Linked DNA regions of Styela clava. The protein of the gene in region 1 binds, or shares a complex with, the protein of each later gene. Links are inferred from orthologs where the notes say so. Each region holds a gene or a part of one and is shown in the gene's direction. Other genes may lie near its edges.

Evidence for each region.
Region 2: the proteins of metal transporter CNNM4-like (region 1) and protein tyrosine phosphatase type IVA 1-like are in contact, whole or in part, in a crystal structure (PDB 8CT8), measured with the Drosophila melanogaster proteins. The link is inferred for Styela clava from reciprocal best matches to the Drosophila melanogaster genes uex and PRL-1. Residues at the interface, in NP_001104390.2 of Drosophila melanogaster: Leu391, Val422, Thr423, Lys442, Cys445, Glu446, Gln449, Asn450, Pro451, Phe454, Phe456, Asp458, His480, Val482, Asn484, Gly488, Asp489, Pro490, Phe491, Tyr492; in NP_001260487.1 of Drosophila melanogaster: Asp32, Ile33, Thr34, Ile35, Asn36, His37, Asp77, Gly78, Cys109, Ala111, Leu113, Gly114, Arg115, Arg142, Arg143, Gly144, Ile146, Asn147, Gln150.

What each region holds. Positions count from the first base shown.
Region 1 is NC_135258.1:13,544,481-13,555,272, reverse strand, and holds the start of metal transporter CNNM4-like, read left to right. Parts: upstream 1-5,680; 5' UTR 5,681-5,739; coding exon 5,740-5,893; intron 5,894-6,378; coding exon 6,379-6,749; intron 6,750-8,595; coding exon 8,596-8,869; intron 8,870-10,696; coding exon 10,697-10,792. UniProt on the Drosophila melanogaster protein: Probable metal transporter. Acts downstream of PRL-1 and protects the nervous system against olfactory carbon dioxide stimulation.
Region 2 is NC_135258.1:8,231,728-8,242,934, reverse strand, and holds the start of protein tyrosine phosphatase type IVA 1-like, read left to right. Parts: upstream 1-6,477; 5' UTR 6,478-6,577; intron 6,578-7,042; 5' UTR 7,043-7,146; intron 7,147-7,535; 5' UTR 7,536-7,677; intron 7,678-8,920; exon of another isoform or gene 8,921-9,065; intron 9,066-9,441; 5' UTR 9,442-9,457; coding exon 9,458-9,562; intron 9,563-11,207. Other genes in the region: DEP domain-containing protein 7-like, read left to right, coding at 430-572, 1,082-1,307, 1,553-1,750, 2,396-2,673. UniProt on the Drosophila melanogaster protein: Probable phosphatase. Inhibits growth possibly by negatively regulating Src64B-induced growth. Regulates central nervous system circuit formation and stabilization of synapse-dense terminal arbors.

The sequences.
Region 1 (10,792 bases):
CAAATGTGCACAGATTCGATTGATTCTTCTAGTGATTACCCGTACTAGCACGCAGTTCAAAATCGCGATGCATGGACGACAGCATATTATGAAAATATGCACCTTCGATGTTTGCATCGTAGCCTCGTCCATGAAATTATTTTCAGATAGGCTACTGATCTTTACTGTGGCCCATATATAATGTTAAACTAGGCTCATGTGAAACTATTGGACATACGCGTCACTATACGAATCCTCTGCTTAGTTGCCTCGCAGATTGGCGCTTCAGAAATATGTACAGGGAGGATTAAACCCGAATGGGGTCTTGGCAGGGGAATTAAACCCGAATGGGGCTCCATTTCCCGCAGAATAAAAACCCTTGTGCGCATACTTTAGGAGTACCCGCTGATTTATCATAATTCAATAAACATTTGTTCGCAATTAGGGCTGGGCATTTTCAAATACCTAGTGGTTTTACAATTAAATCGAATATTTTCCGAATCAAATCTCGAATACTTGAAAGTTTGGTATCTGAATGCCACTTTTTTATTGAACTACTGAAAACATACACTCCATCACTCAGACAGTTGGTTTTGTGTTCACACAGAATAAGAAACCTGTTTCATCAATAAATCACTCGCATGTCAGTTTGTATTGTAAGAAATATGTCTCAACAAAAAAATCCCGCAACCTAGCTCTTCAGTGAACAAGAAAAAAGATGGCGGCGATTCGAAATTTTCGTCCGGACGATTCCAAAAATTTACTATTCGATTCTGAAATGCCCAACCCCATTCGCATTTCACAATGTTAAAAATCAAGTGCATAGCCTAAATCAATTGCATTACTTTTCCAACTTATACTTTGCTTTCAAGCATAAACTTCAACTGTTTTATGCAATTCCACCCACTCCACATTTTTTCATTCAAACTAAACCAGAAGTCCAACTTTCCGTTCTGAATACAACTTGGAGTGTTCTGCAAGATGAGATTAAATTATCATCAAAAACAGCTTTAAAATAGCGGATTGGGGAAGGATCATTTCTAAAGTTGCCTGTGACATATAACCAGGGGAGTGTCTAGGTAAGGGACATAGAGGCAGCCGCCCCGGGAAGCACGATTTAGGGGTGAGTTTGTTGCTTAGTTAGATGATCGAAATAATAATAATACAAATATTCCACTCTCACTTGATCATTGATTGGTTCATATTCGTGTATAACAAAAACTATAATTTGTTTATCTCTCTTATTATTTTTAAAGTTAGGCATGAGGGGCAATATTATGAGAAACTCGGCCCGGTTAGCAAAAAATTTGACACCTCCATGCATGTAACGCAAGTTTTTCTCTCTGGCGCATTCGAATTCCAGCATATATTTCAATATAATGCTTTCAATACTTGTCATGGCGAATGCAAGATACAAGACCCATTACCTGATTTTTAATAAATGACGCAAATATTCTACAAAATTGAATAAAAGTTGAAAAATATTTTTTTAATGGTTCCGAGCATCGTCGGGTGCGGACGTGGTTACTTGAAAAGTCTTAGAGAATGCTACCGCTGTGTGTTTCGGTATTTACTGTTGGTCCCGTTAGTCGTTGGTTGACTTGGACCACTGCAACTGTTGGAATGGTGGTCGTTCGTGGAAATTCAATATTAATGCTGGAAGCATTGGAACGGATACAATGATTTTAAATTGAACTAATCGAAAACGACAAGGGAGCCCGATACCTCAGTCCATGATTTGTGCGTGGACTGTTATGGAACATTCAATCTATTTAACGAGCTTGTTTTTCAGTAACAATTTTTTGTCACTGTGTTATTTTTTCAATGAAATTGAACTACAGCATCACCATTTTACCTCAACGAGTGTTTTTTTATTCCATATTTTGGTAGGAAAAGCACTGTTGTTATACAGATACACGTCTCACATTCTAAAATTGATGCAAAAGGTATTGCCATATTTTACATCGTACTTTTGTTTTATTGTGTTTTTTTTGACTGTTTTTGGTGGACGGGCACGTACTTGTACGTTTGTAACTTTTTTATTAAGTTATGCCCGTTCTCCAGGTTCTCTACATTTTGTTTGTTGTTCGTTTTGTTTCTTTCAGTGTGAGCGAAATAAAATTGATTGATTGATTGAACCATGCATAAATTCCTGAGCAAACGAAATGCCTCAGCGTCTAGAAAATCACGATTGTTACGTCATCAGGTCATCGTTGACTCTTAGCTAATTGAGCACTGTGACGGATATAAATAAGGAAATCAATGCCATGGGAAATATCCCGAGCGACACCTATCCGATGCAATGCGTATGATCCGATATAAATATTGAGCGAGTTCATAATCTATTCTATCATTACCGCCTGCCTATGACTTCGTTACTGTTAGTCATTCAGTGCAGCATGTGGTGTAATACCGTAGTAGCTGGATAGTCCTTTAGTACAGCGCAGTAGGTTGCACACATGTCTGCATGTAGGGTTAATTTCTGTGAAACGATCCGGATGTGAGAGAGATCGCTGACGACTGGCGTTAGTGGGTTCATTTAATCTTGGTATTCTAAAGGCAGAAATGAGTTGAACAATTTAACCATTTAGTACCGGTACCGCTACCGGTACGTTACAGTAAATAGTACGGTAACAATCTATTTACCAGTACCGGTACGGTACCGCGCATATTTTAATTTATGTCAATAATATTGGATTGAATATCAAATAATGCGTCAGAGTATAACCGGTACAGAATATCATAAACTCATTCATCATTGGTTGTATCCCTGATGAATAAGCGGATAGCCTTAGTACCGCCACCGGTACCGTAATAGTAATGTCACTTTTCATAATACAGTAATATAGATATACATACAGGATATAAATCCATTTATTGCAACATATTCACTAGACGCCGTTCTTCTATTTAGTGTGGCACAACCATTTTTACATATGTTTTTCTTAACCCCCACCTGGCTCCGTCATCCAAAGATGACGGTATGTCACAACTCACAACAACCTCACAATCCTGCAATCACATCAAAGAGCTTGCACTAACGTCAGTGATCTTTCTCATATCGGGATCGTTATGACGAGAAAACGAGAGAATTCGCTTGCTCGATTTCGGGTGATCGTCTGCGCGTTTTGGACAACCATCCACATACTTTGATGGGCCATATTACGCTACTGTGATGCCGAAATGAGGAAATTTTTCGGTGACGTAGTCAGGTGGGGGTTAGGATTGACATATGCAAAAATTGTTGAGCCAGGCCAACTAGAAGTGCATGTGGTACTAAACTATACCGTAAAAGCGCCTAACTTCGGACAAAATTACTATATTTTCGTCAATAACTCGGCCATTTATTGTCCAAACGGTGCCAAAATTGCTCGGTAAAACATTCGTGCGGTAATTTACATTCCCTGCAAATTTCGATTCAATTGGACTATTTTTACTATTGAAATAATCGATATTTCTTGCCATCTGACCGTTATCCTTCACTGCCCTAACTTCGGACAGTCATTTTCTTCACTGCGTAACCGCGACGCACAGAGAGAAAGAGGCTCCCGATGCGGATGACGTAATCACGTCGTTGCGTGAAGATAAGACGCCCGATCGTCGTCGTAACGTAACATTGACGTCACGACGAAAATGCATTATTTGAAACTTCCGTCGTCCTATGTTTACATCTTTCGTTCGTTATTTTCGATACTTCAGATGAGTATAATAACACGTTAGTCATTTTAATCAGGAAATGCATACGTAAATATATCTGATGCAAACCGTTTCAATCCACAATGAAGTATTTCAACGGGCTTCTATCGAAGTCTTTGAAGTATTAATATTCTCGACGGATAGCTTTTTTTATTCTGCGCGGTTATCTTTATAAATGATAATTTATATCAAACACACGGTAAATCCGATTGTAAAGTTTAATTTAAAATTCAACTTAATCTTGTAAACATGTAGGTCCCGTTTATTTGTTGGAGATTAAATTTATTTTTAATTTCGAGTGAATAAAATTCACCCAGGCCGTATTCAATAACTGTCATTTCGACTACTAATCATAAAATAATGGTTAAGTCAGTGCACTGTGCCATATGGACGTTGGAATTATCATAGTTCATTATATATTCGATTTTTAACGTCATCGATTAAGTGTGACATGTATTTTCATTAATGTAATTTTGGCATATATTCATACATGACCGAACAAAATACAAAAATATTAGATTGAAACGCCGTCTTTATCTTAACGGAAATTGTCATATTGGCTCCGTTGTGTCTGGCGTCAAAATTCATTTCCGCGACGCAGTGTGACGTCGTGTGGGAAGTGAGCGAAAAATAATCTACGTGAGGTTGACGTAATTTTTGACGCTGCGTGAAATCTTAATATTCTTACGGAATTTATAATTCAGAATTTTAGGTTTTATTTAAATCTCGTACGACATCTTGCGATCACTCAAATATATTATATACATTGTTGTCGCCCTCTACCGAATGATGGTATTTTGACGACGATAGCTTCAGTAGGAGCGACGCTCTGCGCCGTTGAATGCCGGGCAGTCAATTTTCGACAAAATTTCCGTTTTTTTACCAAAAAAATAATTATGCAACATTAAAAAAGATGAGAATAGATGTAGATATAACAGCGCAACCTATAATAATTAAAATTAGCAATATACGGCGCGTTTTAGCCAAGATATGGCCGTTCAAAAATTTTGTCCGAAGTTAGGCGCTTTTACGGTACCAGACCCGAATACGCTTTCCACCGCATCTCTGATTACCCTTCGTGGAATCATAGGTTTGAATCTCATGCAAGGATGATCATGCGCGAGATGATTGCTGGACTCCTAGCCGCCGTTGGGTGGTTCACGTAACCGCTGGCAGTTACGGCTTCCTCCACCATCAAGTCCATGCTTCCGAAAACAAATAACTGGCTATCTAATCCCATACCCGACCTGGACAGGTAACTGGACGAGCGGCCATGGTTTGCCATATGATTAAGCAGTCTTGCGGGCTTTCCTCTCCCCCGGGATAAATATGTAAATCCTATCCTACCTTCAAACTTTACGAACTGTCATCCAAGACGTGCAGACAAGCACCCGAAATCGAACAGGTATTTCCCTCGTTTTATCAACGATCCCAATATGAGAGAGATCGCTGACATTAGTCAGTTCTTTATCGTCGGCGATGATGCCATTTCGGGCGATTGTACATATATTTAGCAAGCTCCGTGACATGATTGTGATGTCATAGTGACGTACTTTTTGGATGGCGTAGTCAGGTGGGGTTTAGGATTAACATGTCAAAAAATTGTTATGCTACGCCCACTAGAAGTATGTTAGGTATAAAACTACACGAGACCTGATGACAGTTAGTATAGTTTGGGGGGTCTTATTACATTGCTGTGATGTCATAGTGATGTAATTTTTGAATGACGTAGTTAGGTGGGGGTCAGGACTAACATATGCCAAATAGGTTGTGCTACGCCAACTAGAAGTACCTACATTGTGTTGTGAACATGGCCCCATTTATTAGTGATATTATACAAAATAATTCGATTGAATGACAAGCATTTTGTTCTGCCAATAAAAGCAAGAGAAAAATGGACTGTTGATTTAAGGGTTTATTCCACCATTGATTGGAGAAAATGTGACCCAGAGTTTGGGAACCACTGGCCTAGACTATAACAGTATAATGGTTTGCTAAGCACATTCTCAACTGATTCTTCAATTTCAGGTAAAAAAAGCGGATACCAGTCATCTGGTCATAGAAATGGTGTTACATCATGTTATGAACTGCAATAATTTAGGTTTGAATAAGCATATTGGATACTACCATCTTTTGTTTCTATTTGTATTTATTTTTCCTTCGCAATGCATCGCAGAAGCAAATTCACAAGTTACTGGACTTATGGCGGGAAATTCAGGTAAAGTTTATAATATTTCATCCGTTTAATTTAATTAATTTTGCAAAAGATATGTATTAAATTTAAATGGAGTTGAAGCTATTTGTTTTACATTGAATATATGTTTCTCATGATGATTTCATATTTTATTGCTTAGACTGTAATTTCTTATGCATATTGAGTTGGTAGTGAAATTACTGTTTAGTTTTGGTTTACATTGGTCTATAAAATTCTCAACCAACTGCATTTTTCCATAATTAATTTTCCCAATTAGTGTACAACTTGGAGAGTAGATTCTCTAATCAAAATTGATTACCACTATGTGTCACACAATAGACAACTGAGACAGATAGTCATCGAATAGATTCAAACTTATCGATGTTTTATATGACTTCATTATATAAACTCACATTTTACATCACCCGAAAATATATTTATTTTGCATGAGAAGCATTTTTTATCCTACTGCATTATCGTTATTCGTCAATCTGTTATATCATTTTCAGGAAATTATACCAGTGAAGGTGTTCCCATTGTCTACATGCCGCAACCGACAACTCTAGTAATGTTTGGTACTGATCTGCAAAAATTAAGCCGCATCACTTTTGTAAAAAAAGCTTTAAGCTATGGAGAAATTTGTGATGATTATATGGAACAACCATCATTTCCAGTTGAATCAACCAATGTTACACAAACCATAGGAAAAGTCGTTGTTACTCTCAAACATACCGTTGAAGATGACCAACAGTTATTTTTTCTCTGTGTAAAAAATAACAACACATCACATTATTTGCACCAAGGGTCAAAAAATTATGTCAAAATATCTGTGAGGATTCAAACGCATGGTGAAGGCACATTGATGCCTATACCACTTCAGGTATACTCCCTGTTTATAATATGCAGTTTGGAGAGTTTATAATATGCAGAGTTTTTTACATTAGTTAACTTAAATATCATTAGGCAGTTTTCACAATTATCTTTGCGGCTGTAAAGGCATATCTAGTTGGTATTGAGTTAGGTAATCGCATGCTCTTTGTGATATGTTTTAGGCCCTATTCAAAGAGGAATATTTTTGAATATTCAATTCAAAAAATAATTCTAGTTATGTTGCTGTTGTATAATGTTAATTATTTTTATTTTTTTGAAAGGAATAAAATATATATAAGAAAATGTTTCACCACTGTGTTCGAGATTTCTGTATTGCAATAGTTTAATAAAAAAAATTTAAATATCTGAAAAAGTCATGGACTATTGGATTCCATTGTAGTAATGTATAAGCTCAATATTCAATATTCACAAAAATGCGCTTAGCATGATGTGGGCTATTTCGTATAATAATTCAGTTTTGGCAATCTATTATCCAAAGTATAAAATACAACAAATTAATTGTCATTGCATTGTAGTTGTAAGTATTTATTGCTTTGAAATTTTAGAAGTGTCACCTGTGATATATTTTATTTATTAGAGGTTTCATACAGTCTATTTATAAAAGATATTTAGACAAAGTGCACTGTCAGCCGTTCTGTCTGCAGTAGAACATAAAAAATTCATAATACTAGACTGAAAATTGCAATTGTCTAGCTGCATAATATTTTATAATTTGTATAACAACTAATGACTCCTTATTTTGTTCAAAGAATAGCATCTAAAGATGCCCAATATAATTGTATTTAGTTAACTTTTTAATAAACACTGTGAATGAGTGATTCAAATTTTAGAATTCAAGTTCTAGAAATCTTAGCTTCAGAGAGATTTCTTTAATATTTCACACGTTTAAGAGAAATTATTTGAACACCGCCAATGATAAACAACAACTTTTTGAAGTTGTGTACATTTCCGCATACACATTTAGGTGTGAAATTAGTCCTGCCTTGTCATGATTAGTAATCATGGGCAGATGGAGAAGTGACACACGTCTGCCTTCCACAATTTACGTTCTTCGAATAATAATATTGGAAATTACAAAAATTTTCATTTTGATCTACAAGAAATTTTACACGATTTTGTGATGTCATGAAACTTTACCACTGAGTAGTAGCGCTCACTGTTGCAAATTAGTTATGTTATGATTTTTGCCGTTAAATGTAGAAATAGTTTTAAATGATATCATTCTGCAGATTTATATTCTAATTTTCCTGAGTTCAATTCAATTTCATTTTGATCCATCATATTCACACATTACTTAGTAAGATCTCAGATCATTGTAAGGTCATAGGATGTCTTCCATTATCACCTTCTAATAATCTTCACCAAGTTAAATACTTATTAATGTATGTACTATTGAGTTTGTGGACAAATCATAATTTTTTAGAGGTAAATAAGGGTAATGACATTGAAAACAATACTCAATATCTATTTCTCAAAGCAAACTTATAAATACTATCGATTTCAACGTTTTGCTCAAATCAATAAACCTCGTGATTGTGATGAAATTTTTAATATCTTCGTCACAATTATGACATAATTGAATTTTCTCTATAAATTTAGCTTATTTTTATATTTATCAAATATGTAATTTTTTACTGTGATAGTAAAATTTGCATTTGTTTTTTATTTAATATACAGTTTTGCTTAAAACTTGATTTTGAGTTACCAATCAAAAATGAATAGAGCTCTAATAAGTAGATGTGAAGAAATATGTATGGTTCATCTTCACAACATAGTAGCCATTACGTAATAAAAACTACTGTATTTGTTGTTAATGTAACATTTTTCAAATTCAGATATCGCTCATTGCAGTCCTTCTACTCATGTCTGGTATATTCTCTGGTCTCAATCTTGGACTTATGGCGCTCGATCCAATGGAGTTGAAAATTGTTCAAAACTGTGGAAGCACTGCAGAGAAAAAATATTCCAAAGCAATTTATCCGATTCGTAAAAAGGGAAATTACTTACTCTGCACTTTGCTATTAGGTAATGTCCTGGTGAACAACACAATGACTATTCTATTGGAAAACATTACTTCTGGATTATGGGCTGTTATCGGATCAACTATTGGTTTGTATTTGTTTGTTTTAAACTTGAAAAGCTTGTTTAGGGACACATAAATTTCGAAATAATGACCTTTGTGGTTTATATCTATTTACCAGATCGTCACATTATACAAAGTGATATTTGAATGTTTAATTAATATATAAATAATCCAGGTTTTTGCAGTTGAAAGTAGGGATATTAGTATACAAAAGCTTAGATATTTTGAAATTTTGCTCGTAAAATAGTTTCAATTTTGAATGTTTCAAATTGACCAGTCATACACTAACTCAGTGGTTCCCAACACCTTTTTGTCAAAATTCTAAAAAATCTAAAATTTTAAAAAATAATTGTTGTAAAATCTTTTGATTCAAGGACATGCTCAAATACTAAACAACATTTACTGTAGTTCTTTTGTAGCTGCAAAATTAAATTAATAATATGAAACAATCGTTTTTACTAAATATTCACTTTACCAGAAATTAACCAGAGTGCGTAAGTCGCGCTTGTGTGCCATCAGAGAGTTACTGAATTTGTAGCGTGGCGTTACTCAAGCAAATGGGCGGGCCTCTGCCTATTTTTTTTTCGCTGCAATGCTTCCCATATATACAATTGAGCAACACTAATGTCAAATGAAAAATAAATTTACCAGAAAATGGAATGAATAAATAAAATGAAATTTATTGGAAAAAAAAGCGACCCCAAGAGGACTTCCAGAAAAAATTTAGTCTTTTGCATAAAATGATATACAGTGTCAAATTCGTACCATGGATACAATTTATTATTATTTTATATTATTAGTATTGTCCTGCCAATAGTTTTAGTGTTTTCAACCTGTACATGTACATTTGTTCTTACTTAAACTATTGTTATGTTAAGTTGCGATAGAGAGATTGAATTTACAAATTCATGTACATGCAGAGGTAGTATCAGTAACCTATTGATTTTTAAATTACTACCAATGATTTAAATGTAATGTAATCTGTCAGATTATTGACCCAACAATGTGTTGCTACATAAAATCAATAATAAATGTCTCAAATTACATTGTGATTTTACAATATGTAATACCATGTTCTTGTGTTTTACTGTGTTAACATAAATAATAATTTTGAAAATACGACTGCCTTTGTGATATTCCTATATTGCAATAAAATCCTATATTTATACTTTTGCTGTTTACTAAATTCATACCTTTTTTATTTTTTTTTTGTTTATCAGTGTTCTATTGTTAACAAGGCATTATTATAAAATATTCATATTGTAATTGATAGTTGAATTATCAATTATGTTTGCATGAGAAAGTTTGACTTGAAACAAATGAAACCTTGCAGAAATATATCAGTGCTGTGTGAGAGTTGCAAATCCAAAATAGTCATAACTCATAATATTTAGACATTCATACTTTGAACTAAATTCTGAGGATTTCTTGTGTTTTATTTATGATACTGATATTAAAAATTCGCAATAACGGCATTTAAAATTAGTTAACCCTGAAAAAAAAATTACTGTTATGACAGTCTTTATTAATCAAGAAAATCTGTAATAATATTTTTTCTCATTAAAAAGTTGGCTTTTGGCATGATTTGAATTGAATAGGAAAAAAAAATTATTGTTTCAATTTTGCATTTATCATGAATTATTTTAGTATTTTCCTATTTTGTAAATTTTGGAACTATTTCAAGCTTTTTACATAGGATTCACATCCTAACCTCCTGATGATCACTAATTACTGATTTTAAGGCTTTGGGAGTAATCAAGTAAGAAGTAACAATGCTATATTATGTATGTTATTACACACCTAGTCTGTAATTTTAATAAAGAGTATTGTACAATATACCCTTTGTTCTACAGCTATTGTTATATTTGGAGAGATAGTACCACAGTCAATATGTACACGTCACGGTCTAAGAATTGGAGCATACACAATTTGGTTGACGAAATTTTTCA
Region 2 (11,207 bases), about 5.3 Mb from region 1:
GTTGTGATATGCCTGCATGTATTTTCAGTAGTTCAGTTTTAGTCGCTGTGCAGCCATAAAAAAGTCTTGGGTTGTGACATTCTTGACTCCAAAATTTTGACCCTGGCTCGCGACTCGATTGTGAAGAATTTTGAATTAAAATCCAACTCCAAACTCTGAAAAAAAAAACGGATTCTGATTACAAAAACTCAGTTGTATGCCTCTATAAATTATCTGTTCAAAATTCTTAGTTAACTCGATTCTCTTTGAGTTTCTGTCAATTTTCATCATGAAAAGTCTGAAAATTTGACTGAGGGTGCAAAATTTTTACTGCTTTACTGCAACATTTTACTTTTCAGGAATTTCATCTCTTAATCTACAAGCATGTAATTCTATAATAATATAAGTATTTGTTTATTTAATTTTAAACTTTTATTGAATCATTTTCAGTGTCTCGACCTGTTGATAAAATCATGGAAGCAACACAATTGTTTGTCCATCTTCTGGCAGATGCAAGACTGACAGAATTGCGACATCTTTGTATGTTTTTACATGTTGTTTGTACACAGAACGAAGTCAGACTTGTACATAAGGTAATGTAGCTTCTATAACTCCAAATATATTCATAGATATTTATTATATTGCGAGGATCACAGTGTGAGGACCAATATGATTGGAATGCTGGTCCAAACAGTATATAGTAATAGTGTTTTACAGTACTGCATTAATTTTCACCGAGCATCTTGATACTGCAAAGAGCCATTGTTCTCTTTTTCAAGAATTGCTTGAAATACTCCACTCTGACTCTCGATTGACAAAAAATTTAGCTCTGACTCAAGACTGACAAAACGTTTGTCTGTGGCTCCTAACACTATGTCAACGAATTGATACTCTATTTCTATCTATGTTCTAGGAGAATAAGAAATTTCAATAGCAAAAGTTTCGGCATATGCAAGCTTTTATTTTTTGTTGAGAATGCTTGATCAGCTTTGATAGCAGCTGATTACTCTTCAGACAGTCTTGAATAGAAACTTACCAAACATGGAACTCCAATTAAAATGGTTATGGTTCCTCAGAAATTTAGTATTTCCTTTTATTTCAGGGTAACAACCAAGCACTTGTTATTGAAACATTCACTCCTGCAATATTACGAATGCCAAACAGTATTGCTTGTGAGAATGGAATCAATGGTTGTAAAGGTTTAGTTCGATTCATGGTTCAACACCATCTGAGAGTATTTATGCTTCCTGCATCTGTTGAAATGATTGTTCAAAGAAAAGTTGATCTGTTGGAACAAGGAGAGATTGAGAGTCCCTCACTTGTCACAGGTTGAGTTTTGATATTGATGTTAATAAAAAAATTAGATGCAATTATTCGTATTTTGCAAGACATGGCTTCCATAAATGCCAATATTTTTGCAAGTATAGTTTAAAAAATACCACTGTTTATTGGTTTTGTCAATTTTAAAGTTTGTATCCTTCGACTGAATTATAGCATCAAAAAGATGAATTTGGGATGAAAGATTCCAAAACATAAATAAAAGTTAAAAAAATTTTCTCATGTTATTGTTCAGATACAGCATATTGCACAATGATATCTGAATCAGAGTATCAAGAACAAAGAGTTACATACACTCACTCTCGAGTCAGAGAATTATACTCCACTATCCAATCCAGTACATCTATCGCTCCAAGGAAGAAAAAAGATTTGATAAAGAAACTTCAAAGACAACATCCTGATGTGTTTGGAGTCAATAATAACAATGACGCAGGTGACATATTGATTTAAATGAGATCAGACTTACGGATCGTATTGTTAAATTGTTGCTGTTATTATTCTTTTTCTTGTGGTTGATATGAAAAAATTGTTTTTCTCTCTAACTGCTGGACCGATTGCTCTGAAATTTTCAGTGGTAAAAGATTGTTGTTGTCGCTAGAAACAATTTCTGGGTTCTATGGAATTCGTTTTTCATTTTAAAGTTTTGTGTGATGACGTCATTAAAATTTGAAAAAATCCAGTTCCGCAATCGCATTTCGGCAATCTTGTGGTCAGCGAGGTTCAGAGTTTTTTCAAAAGGTTGCCTACTGTCTACCGGTACTGTAAAAGATTCGGTATTACTTGGTTTCGGCCTTCGTGTTCATACTGGAAATACACACTGTGAATGTAAAAATGAACACAAAAATGGCATTTTGAGGGTGAAGAGAGATGCGTTGAGGCCAATACTATCGAGATTGTGTATTGAAGAACTGATGCATGCTAAGTTATAGTTGTATTAAAATTTAAAAATGTAGTTTGGTATATTATATATTCAATACTTCTTCCAATCAGAAAGAAATTTAGAAAATGACATGATTTGTGATGTCATTTATAGTAAATTGTAGGTTTAAATTTTCAGTAATAAAATTAATTTTTTTAGATAAGATAGGCTCTCAGTCTACTAAAGAACCAGAGAGAAAACTAGGGCATCCTGCTCGTTCATTTTTAACTTTAACTCGAGGGAAGCAAGAAAGAGGATTGGGAACATCTGGATCTCACAGAGATTTATCAGCAAGTGGAACGTCTAAAAGTAGCACTAATGGTAATCAACTTAGGACATTGCCCATATCCACACGATCTATGAGATTTACAGCTCCGAATTCTGACCCCTTGACGCGGAAACGGAGAAACAGCACAAGAGCTGAGGTTTTTATCTGAATGTCTTTTTATGTCTATGTAGCTGAGTTTGTATGAAACGTAGGAAGGCTTTAGAGACAATATGTTTTGCAATATAGATATGGTGTTAAAAATATTCGCTGATGTCCAGAACTGAATAGTCTACACTTTGCTGAATACACATTCCGAAATAATATCATATTGAGACGAGTATATACTTGCATAAATCACCATAAATTTACAGCGACATAGTTGCCAAAAACATTGTTTCATTAGTTTTTCTAAGTCAAATAAGACGATTGTCAGGATGTCAATAGATCGAAATAAATGTATTTGCAAATTAGGTAACCTACATTATCCCTAAGGTTATCATTCCTTTTGTCGAATGCATTCAAATATTTGTTGCCTTCTGGACTTTCCTGATCTAGCTTATGCTGAAATATGCAGGAATGAGGACCTGCCCACGACAGTTGCCTATTGCATCATGACTAGCATTTGATATTTTTTATTCATATCTTCTATATTATATTACTGAATATGGATCTTGCCATTTTTCTATAATACTCTGTATACAATCTCTGTTCATTTTGTTGCTGAGAAATATTTCACCTTGTATCTATAAGATGTGCAAAAGATGTATTTTAGAATTCTAAATAATCCAGAAGAATAAGCCTAATTGCTGCTTTCTCTGTAGTTTTGTCATTTTTGCAGGGAAAACATTTTTTTCGTCAAATTTTATATAGGCGACTTATTTCTATTTAACTTGATCATACGACAGAAATCTGATGTAACATACTTTTCACATTTCGGGGTATCTACTTACAGCATAGATATCTTAAATGATGTTGTGTAAAACTGACAATTATGATGAAAGATTGGCTGCAACATTGTAATTATTATCAATGTTTCATGACTGAATCAATCATGTTTTCGATTTTGTTTTGCACATTGCAACACTATGTAACTAGCAATATTTATTATCATATTTTGCAGTCTTAGAATCATGATTACCATACCTCACATTTTGTCTTGCTAGATAAAATTTTCAACATTCCGATTAATATGAAGCTTTCAAAACAAATATGTTCATAAATCTGTGCCTCCAGTTTTTACTGATAATACGCGGCTTGAATGTAAGTATATGCTATTATTTTTATATGAATTACCGATTTCATGCTTATCATATAATATTTGGAAACTGATATATTGATTACCCTAGCGAACCTTCACTGCAGTGTTGGGAGCCGCAAACGGCGCTGAACAAGCGATGCAAAGACCGGAGTGCCACATGTGTTTGCTTTTTTTGCTCTTCTTGTTACTGTTGGTATATTTTGAGTACAAGTGCTCTACACACAGATTTTGATATGTAAGATATTTTTAAACTTTTTTTCAGCCTTGAATGATGACCAAATAATCAGTGCATTTGGTTCTTTTCCTTATCCTTTGTTTCTATTTATGGCTATCGTCACTAATATTTTAGTGTAGTCATTTAAAAATAGACCTAACACTTTTTCAGTTTGGTAAATTTTCAAAATGTTTTTTGTGTGAATAATTGTATTTACGTTATTTGTTACTGTTTGAAGTACTTTTTCATTTCCTAGAGTGAATTTCCTCGAAATAGATTTAGGTATATTGCCTGTGTAGAACATTGTGCTGTGTTTATTTCTTCTGATGAAATTGTTTTGCTTATTACAAAGTTTTCTTATGAAATATTATTGTCAAGCTGTAGTCTCAGCTTCTCATTGTGCTATGATGATGCCTATATTTATTCAGTTTCTGTATTTTGAAATAAAAATTTATTGTATGACTAGTTTTTTCTGTAGCTGCAGAAAGTTTCATCTGTTAGTAGTAAGAATAGTACTACACTAAAATCGACAGTAAACAAAATCATTTGCACAAAATAGTTGCCACAGATGAGTGGAGCCACAGAAAACTGAAGGTTTTCAAACTGTGACACCCTTATGTTGCCATCAAATATGCTACAAAAGTGTTATGACAGTTTTTTAGGCAGTTTGTTAAACAGAATCTGTATAAATAAGAGCATTCACTTTTAAGGATTTCATAATTGTTGTTCAATTTTGAAACTTGAATGGACAGAAAGTAATGACTTAATGTTCAATTGATGACTGAGTTTACCACAAACATTGATCCGTCCGTAAACGCACTCATGAACGCAAATTGAATTCATTTTTTATATGACCTAAATCTATCTATAGCCACTGAGGAGATGGATACATTACACTCACTAGGGAACAGGTTGAAGTAATTTTTTATTCTAGAAAAAGTACGTTGGAAACTCTTCACGCTCTATTTCCTATTTTGGGAGGGGATTGGGCATGGACATCGCGACAAAGCATTGGCGTGTACACTGTCGCCAAGTGTTTCCGATGAAATTTGAACAGAAGCAGGAATGTGGCCGTTTTTTTTCAGAACTTATTCTAAAAATTCAAACTAGCAGTCATGGCCTGATAATGTGTAACTTATAAATGAACGCCCTAGGGCCTAGGCAGTTATACACAATGAAATATAGGTGAGACATACCGAATATCTCCTTTCTTGATAGTTTCGGTGGCAACGCATTCGCGTTCAGTTGTGGTATGTAGGCGGTTTGCATTGTGGGCTCTGCCTTTGTCATTTTTTTTCGAAAAATAGACTAATAATAATGTACCAGAAATCATTAAGGGTATTTTATGAGTCTTTTATTTACCATAATAGTATTATGGTAGAAAAGGCAGCTTCTCCTGGGTAACAACGGTGTTCTTTCTTCGATATCTAGGTACGTATATGGTAAGCGATTGCGAATTACGCTGGACCGGTATCATCCGGTTACTGGCGGGAGTGTCGCAATAGTTTGCTTGTTTAGTCGGCGTGGATCATTTTTGTGCAATAGCTCTGAGGACCACCGTGGGTGATTTACCGAAACTTTTCTAGAAATATAAACCCTGGAATAAAAATTGTGTGTTTACGAAGGGAATTTTTCACCTTTTTCTTTGTTGAAACTCGAAAACAATCGTGACGAAGTTATGACGCTAACAGATGCTGATCTACTTATACTTTTATACGCTTGTGTCTGTATGTATTTCTGCGTACGGTACCGGTGCGGGTAGTGGCAGTTGCGCTATCCACCTATTGCAGTATTGTCTGATTGTTACGATGACCAGGGACAGGCCTTGAATTGAAAGACAAGGTAGTAGCTTGCGCGGGTTGATATTCTGATATTGCGTACCGGTAGTTATGCGAAGCTAGAACTGTAGAATGAGGCTCGTTTCACAGAAATACATTTTCAATTTAGAATAACGCCAATAGACTTCGGTATCAGATGTGTGCACTTGTATCCAACTTATTAAGCACCATCTGACTATAGTAACATACAAGTCGGAGAGTTGTGGGATCAATATGTAATGAAAACTAAATGCAAAAATGGTACGGTACCGTATATGTTCAGAGCATAGCAGAGGGCATGCCTCTTGCTCAGAATATTTGAAATATTGAAATAGGTACGGTACCAATTTAGCTAGTCTCTAAAGACAGGAAATAGTGATTTTAAATGTTCACTTTAAAAAGCTTTGAGTGCTGGAGTGGCAAAACTTTTGATTTAAAATGTACATGTAATAGTTTGAATCGATATCAAAGTTTCAAATTGAAGTTTGATATTTTTGAAATTGTTGAAAATTTGCTAATATCGAAATATACTCTATTGGCGAGAGATGAAATAAAGTTGGAACTAGTGCATAAAAATGACTTGGAATAATACACATGAAATTGTGTGCTAGAATTATACATGAAAACTTCCTGAGCTTTTTGACATGAGATCATAATTTCAATGAATATTCTTCATTACTTTTCAACCAGCCATATTAAAACCTGTAATTGATTGACTGTCAATGTTGTCTCTGGAATCATTTTCAGAAAGCCACTGTGCCCTTTGCCACGCACAACATACAAGGTAAAATGTTTTTGAATTGCAAAGTAATTGTGAATTGGAATTATCTTTACTTGTATATTGCTAAATTTATCTGGTAGCTGTATTTTAAATTCAATTTAATTAATATTTACCAATGTAAAAATTATGTTTAATATTAGTTTCCACTGTACTGGGTAGATGTATAATTAATCTCTATATCTCTTCAGTCTTAGTTTTTATCGTTAACAAGTGTAAAATTCAAATTTTTAGATACTTGATATAACTAGAGTTCCATCTCTGAATGAGTTTGGTATATTTTCAATCATATTTCCATTTTTACTTTGTCAAGTATATTCCCATTCAAATCTCTAAATGAGTAGCTGAAATTCAATTGGAGAACATTGTAATATAGATGCACATTCATTCAAATATATTTCGCAAATTATCACATTTTTTTGAGTTATGAGCAAGCTATGTCAAATCTGGTTTAATTTATTTATTATTCAGGTGAATCTACACAGTTTCTGGTATTTGGAAATACCAGAAATAATAACGGAAGAGATTGCTATCAGCAAAATTTAGAAACGAAAGATAATTCATTTTTTATTCAGGTAATTACCTTTACCACAATTTCCCACTTTTGTGTAATTTTCCCTAAAAAACCGGATGTTAGGAAATGATTATTTATCAAATCATCAGTTTCATGACATTATATTGGTTATTTTCAAACTGAACAAGCAATGGAGCAAATCTTTTTACAATGTTTTATTGTCACGCAGCACTTTATCAATTTACAAGGTTAAAGGCAAATGTAAATGCTTCTTGAAGTTTCGAAATATTCCGAACATAGTTTGTACTATCTTTGTCTGATAAAGTCTTGAAAGTTTCCTATTATTTTACTGACTCTTGACCTTGCTTTATTTATTTCACAATTCGATTTTTTTTTATATCTTTTCAAGTCTTCATAGGCATTGAAATGTCATGAATTCAATTCTTTTAGGTAATCGAATGGGGTGAAGTTTTTGTTTAAACGAAGTCATTGAGGGGTCATCACTGCGACGTTGAAGGCGACATACAACTACCTCGACTTCATTATTAAAACCCTAGTAGCCTCTGTCAACATTTGCCAAGAGTTTTTGAATGTAAGTTACGATACTTTTCAAGTTTGTATCTCATACATTGTGCTATAAAACTAGATTATAATTACAGTTGAATCAAAATTGTTAATGTCGTGAATGGAAGTGATTTTGCTTGAATAAAAATGAATATTATGATAGAAATATTAGTTGGGGTCAGATAAGACTAACTGCCTACACTGTATGCATATAATTCAAGTGATTCAGGAACCTTGCACACTAACACAAATCTCTTTGTTTAAAGTTTGTATTTCAAAATAAAGAATACAAAGCAGCAAAAAAAAAATATATATACATATATATGCTCATACATTGATGGATATGACAAACAAAATTAGAATATGTGAATTGTACAAATTGACCATAATTTGAGCCTCTTAAATTTGAAATTGTCCATAATTTTTATCAATCTTCTTGCTATTTATTATGGCAGTTATTGTTATTGATATATCTTCAACTCAAGAAAATATTGAAATTTCAAGATTCAGGTCTTTATATATGTCTCTGTTGACATCTGTATGACAGTGTTACCAATAACAAACATACAGTTTTACACCTCTCACTTCATTTGAAATGTGATGATAGTTGACACTCTTGTGCTAGGGTTATATTTTAGTTGCTTCATTTTATTAGTTGATGAGCAATAGTTAGATAACGTTCAGTCTTCCTTGTATATTAGAGGTATGGCCAAGAAAATGTATTTGGTAATTGCTTGAAAGTGTCTATGTTTGAATTGATTTTGGGATTAATAAGTCAGATCATAAGCTGGGCAATATACAGGGTGGTCACTAGAAAAGGAGAAAATTTGTCAAACAGCTTTTTATTTAAGCTTGCTATATTACTAAATATAAATGACACCTAACCACTATTAAGGAGGTTTAATTCCACGAATTTAAAAAAATATATATAACCTTATTAAATGGAATAAATTTGTTATAGTTAGGAAGACTGAATATTTTTAGAATATTCAGATTGATATTTTATTGGAGTAATATTATGAAATCATTATGCAACCCATTATTAAAACTCCACCATCATTTGTAATCATTGATTATCAGCATAATTTCATAACTACGGTACAATTTTCCATGCTCAAAAGCAAAATATGTTCAAAAGGTCTTAGATCCCTCTACCATTTGGCCAGGTTGTTTCCCACTGCATTGTGAGTTGTATCGAATCTACTGACAAGTAGGATTTTGATAATCAAACAAAAAATTTAGCATCGGAAGCAGACAGTGTGTAAAAATTTTACTGTTTCTTCTAATAGATTGTTTTAGAAAGCCTATAGGTTTTGTGTTAGTGCATGTGCTAATATTATATCATGTAGTAAAACCTATTTTAACTGTGTTGCTGTCAGCTCTCTGACTAACATTGAAGAGATTTATTGAACTCAGGTGATTTAATAATTTGGTTGTGACAGGAAATTGCCTCAAGGCTTTTTTGCAACTGTTCGAAATTGCCTTTGTATAAGAAACTATTTGAATATTCATAGAGCCATATTATCTCAATCTGGGAGAATTGAAATCGGATAATTTGTTAATCTAAATACAGTCTAAAAATAGTGTTTTAATGAGCAATATATATTTGAATCAAACTTGAACAAATATTTTACACATCATTATATATTCATAGAGATTGATTTTATAATTTTTGTAATTATAGTAAAAATAGCTTTGTATTATTGATTCATTATTCAATATCACCTACTTAAAGTAACCATATTTTTGGATTGATAATTTTTTAATAACTAAAAGGAACTGTTGTTTCTAGAAAGCTGTGACAAAGAATGGCAAGAATGAACAGACCAGCACCAGTAGAAGTTCAATACAAGAACATGAGGTTTCTGATCACTCACAACCCAACCAATGCCACCATGGAAAAATTTATCGAAGTAAATTCTATTTTCTATAATACGATTTTTCTAGGAAGATAATTCCCCCAAAATTGTTGTATATAGTTGCATGGCAGAAATGAACCCTATTTGATGACTTGATGTAACCAGGTTTTCAAGCTTTTTTTATGGCTTTATACGCCATAAATTACATGAAGCAAATAAAAGTTATTTTACCTAATTTAGTTTTACGGCTTTCCCTGAAGGCTGTTTGTTGTACATATACAATAATGGATCACTTTCAGGAACAATTCCTGAATTTGGGGCTCATTTCAAAGTATAAATTCACAAAGCCAGGAAGTGCGATTTTCAACCATGTTGCATCAGAATTTTGTAATGCTTAGCAGATTATTCACCATAAGTGACACTGAAGCAATAGTTTTCCTATTGTGTTTCTAATCTTTGTTCTTTGTAGCTATTTTTTTTCTTGTAGACTTTGATTTTCACAGACAACAAATAACATGATAAAATTCCTATATCAGCCTATTAAATTCGAGCTTTGGTTATTTAGAAAGAAGTTAATCATGTCTTGTATTGGTACTAAGCCTGATAAACCTTATTTTGGTTGTTATTTTTGTTTTCAAGCTTCTACTATGGGCTGTTTACTAACTAATTCAATTACTGCATGAATATTTATATCATGAAACCACCTTGTTATGGTAGCTTAGTAACCGGTCTCAACTAGCTTTTAACTATTTCTGTTTTTGAATGTTGTTTGAGTCATTGACGTGAGTGGATTTTAAGTGTTCCTGATACTGTTTGTTTTTCCACCTAGAATGAGGTTCATACTTAGGAAATGTGTGTTTGTGTTATACATTCCTTATTGCTACTACATGAACAATTCATATTCTTGAATCTCTTTTAAATAATATAATTTTATTATTGGAAATTACGGTAGTTCAATTTGGAGATAAATTAGATAATATATTTATTGACAGTCTTTCACAATTTCATAATATTTGTAGACTGCAGTATATCTATCTATGCAAAGCAAATATTTTTGTTCTATGTGACGGAACTTGAATACCATAAATAAGATGCTATAGGCTAGCATTTACTTCTACTAGCTATTTCAGAAGAACATCTTTATATACATTTTAAATATTAATAAGAAAGCGAGTATATATTTCCGATAAAGCAATCTGTTTCAAATTTATATCATGAATTGATATAACAATCATATTACTTTTAAAAAAGAAATGTTCAAATATCAGAATATTATATCACCTGCTGATAAGTTGAACAATTGTATTTTTCAAAGGTTAAAACATGAGAATACTGAAGCATCATAGATTTCCAAATGTACTGGACCATAATTAAGAACTTTAGCTTAGGCCAAGATTTATCCACGCGAAGCATGAAAGAACCTTAAATAATTCAGAATCAATAATGAAGCATTACGTCACATGTATTGACGTCTCTACTTACATTAATGTAATTCATATCCTTTGCTTTCAAAGGTTGTATTGCACCACACAAGGAAATCAATACATATTATGATTTTTATTAGCTTTTTACAACAGTACAATAACTACATAGGGGCTCGATATTTGAATATGATGAGTAATATGTAGTCTAATTATAGGTGTGATCTAAGTAATAGATTCGTCTGTCAAAACAGCATTGATTCATGTAATCAAATAAA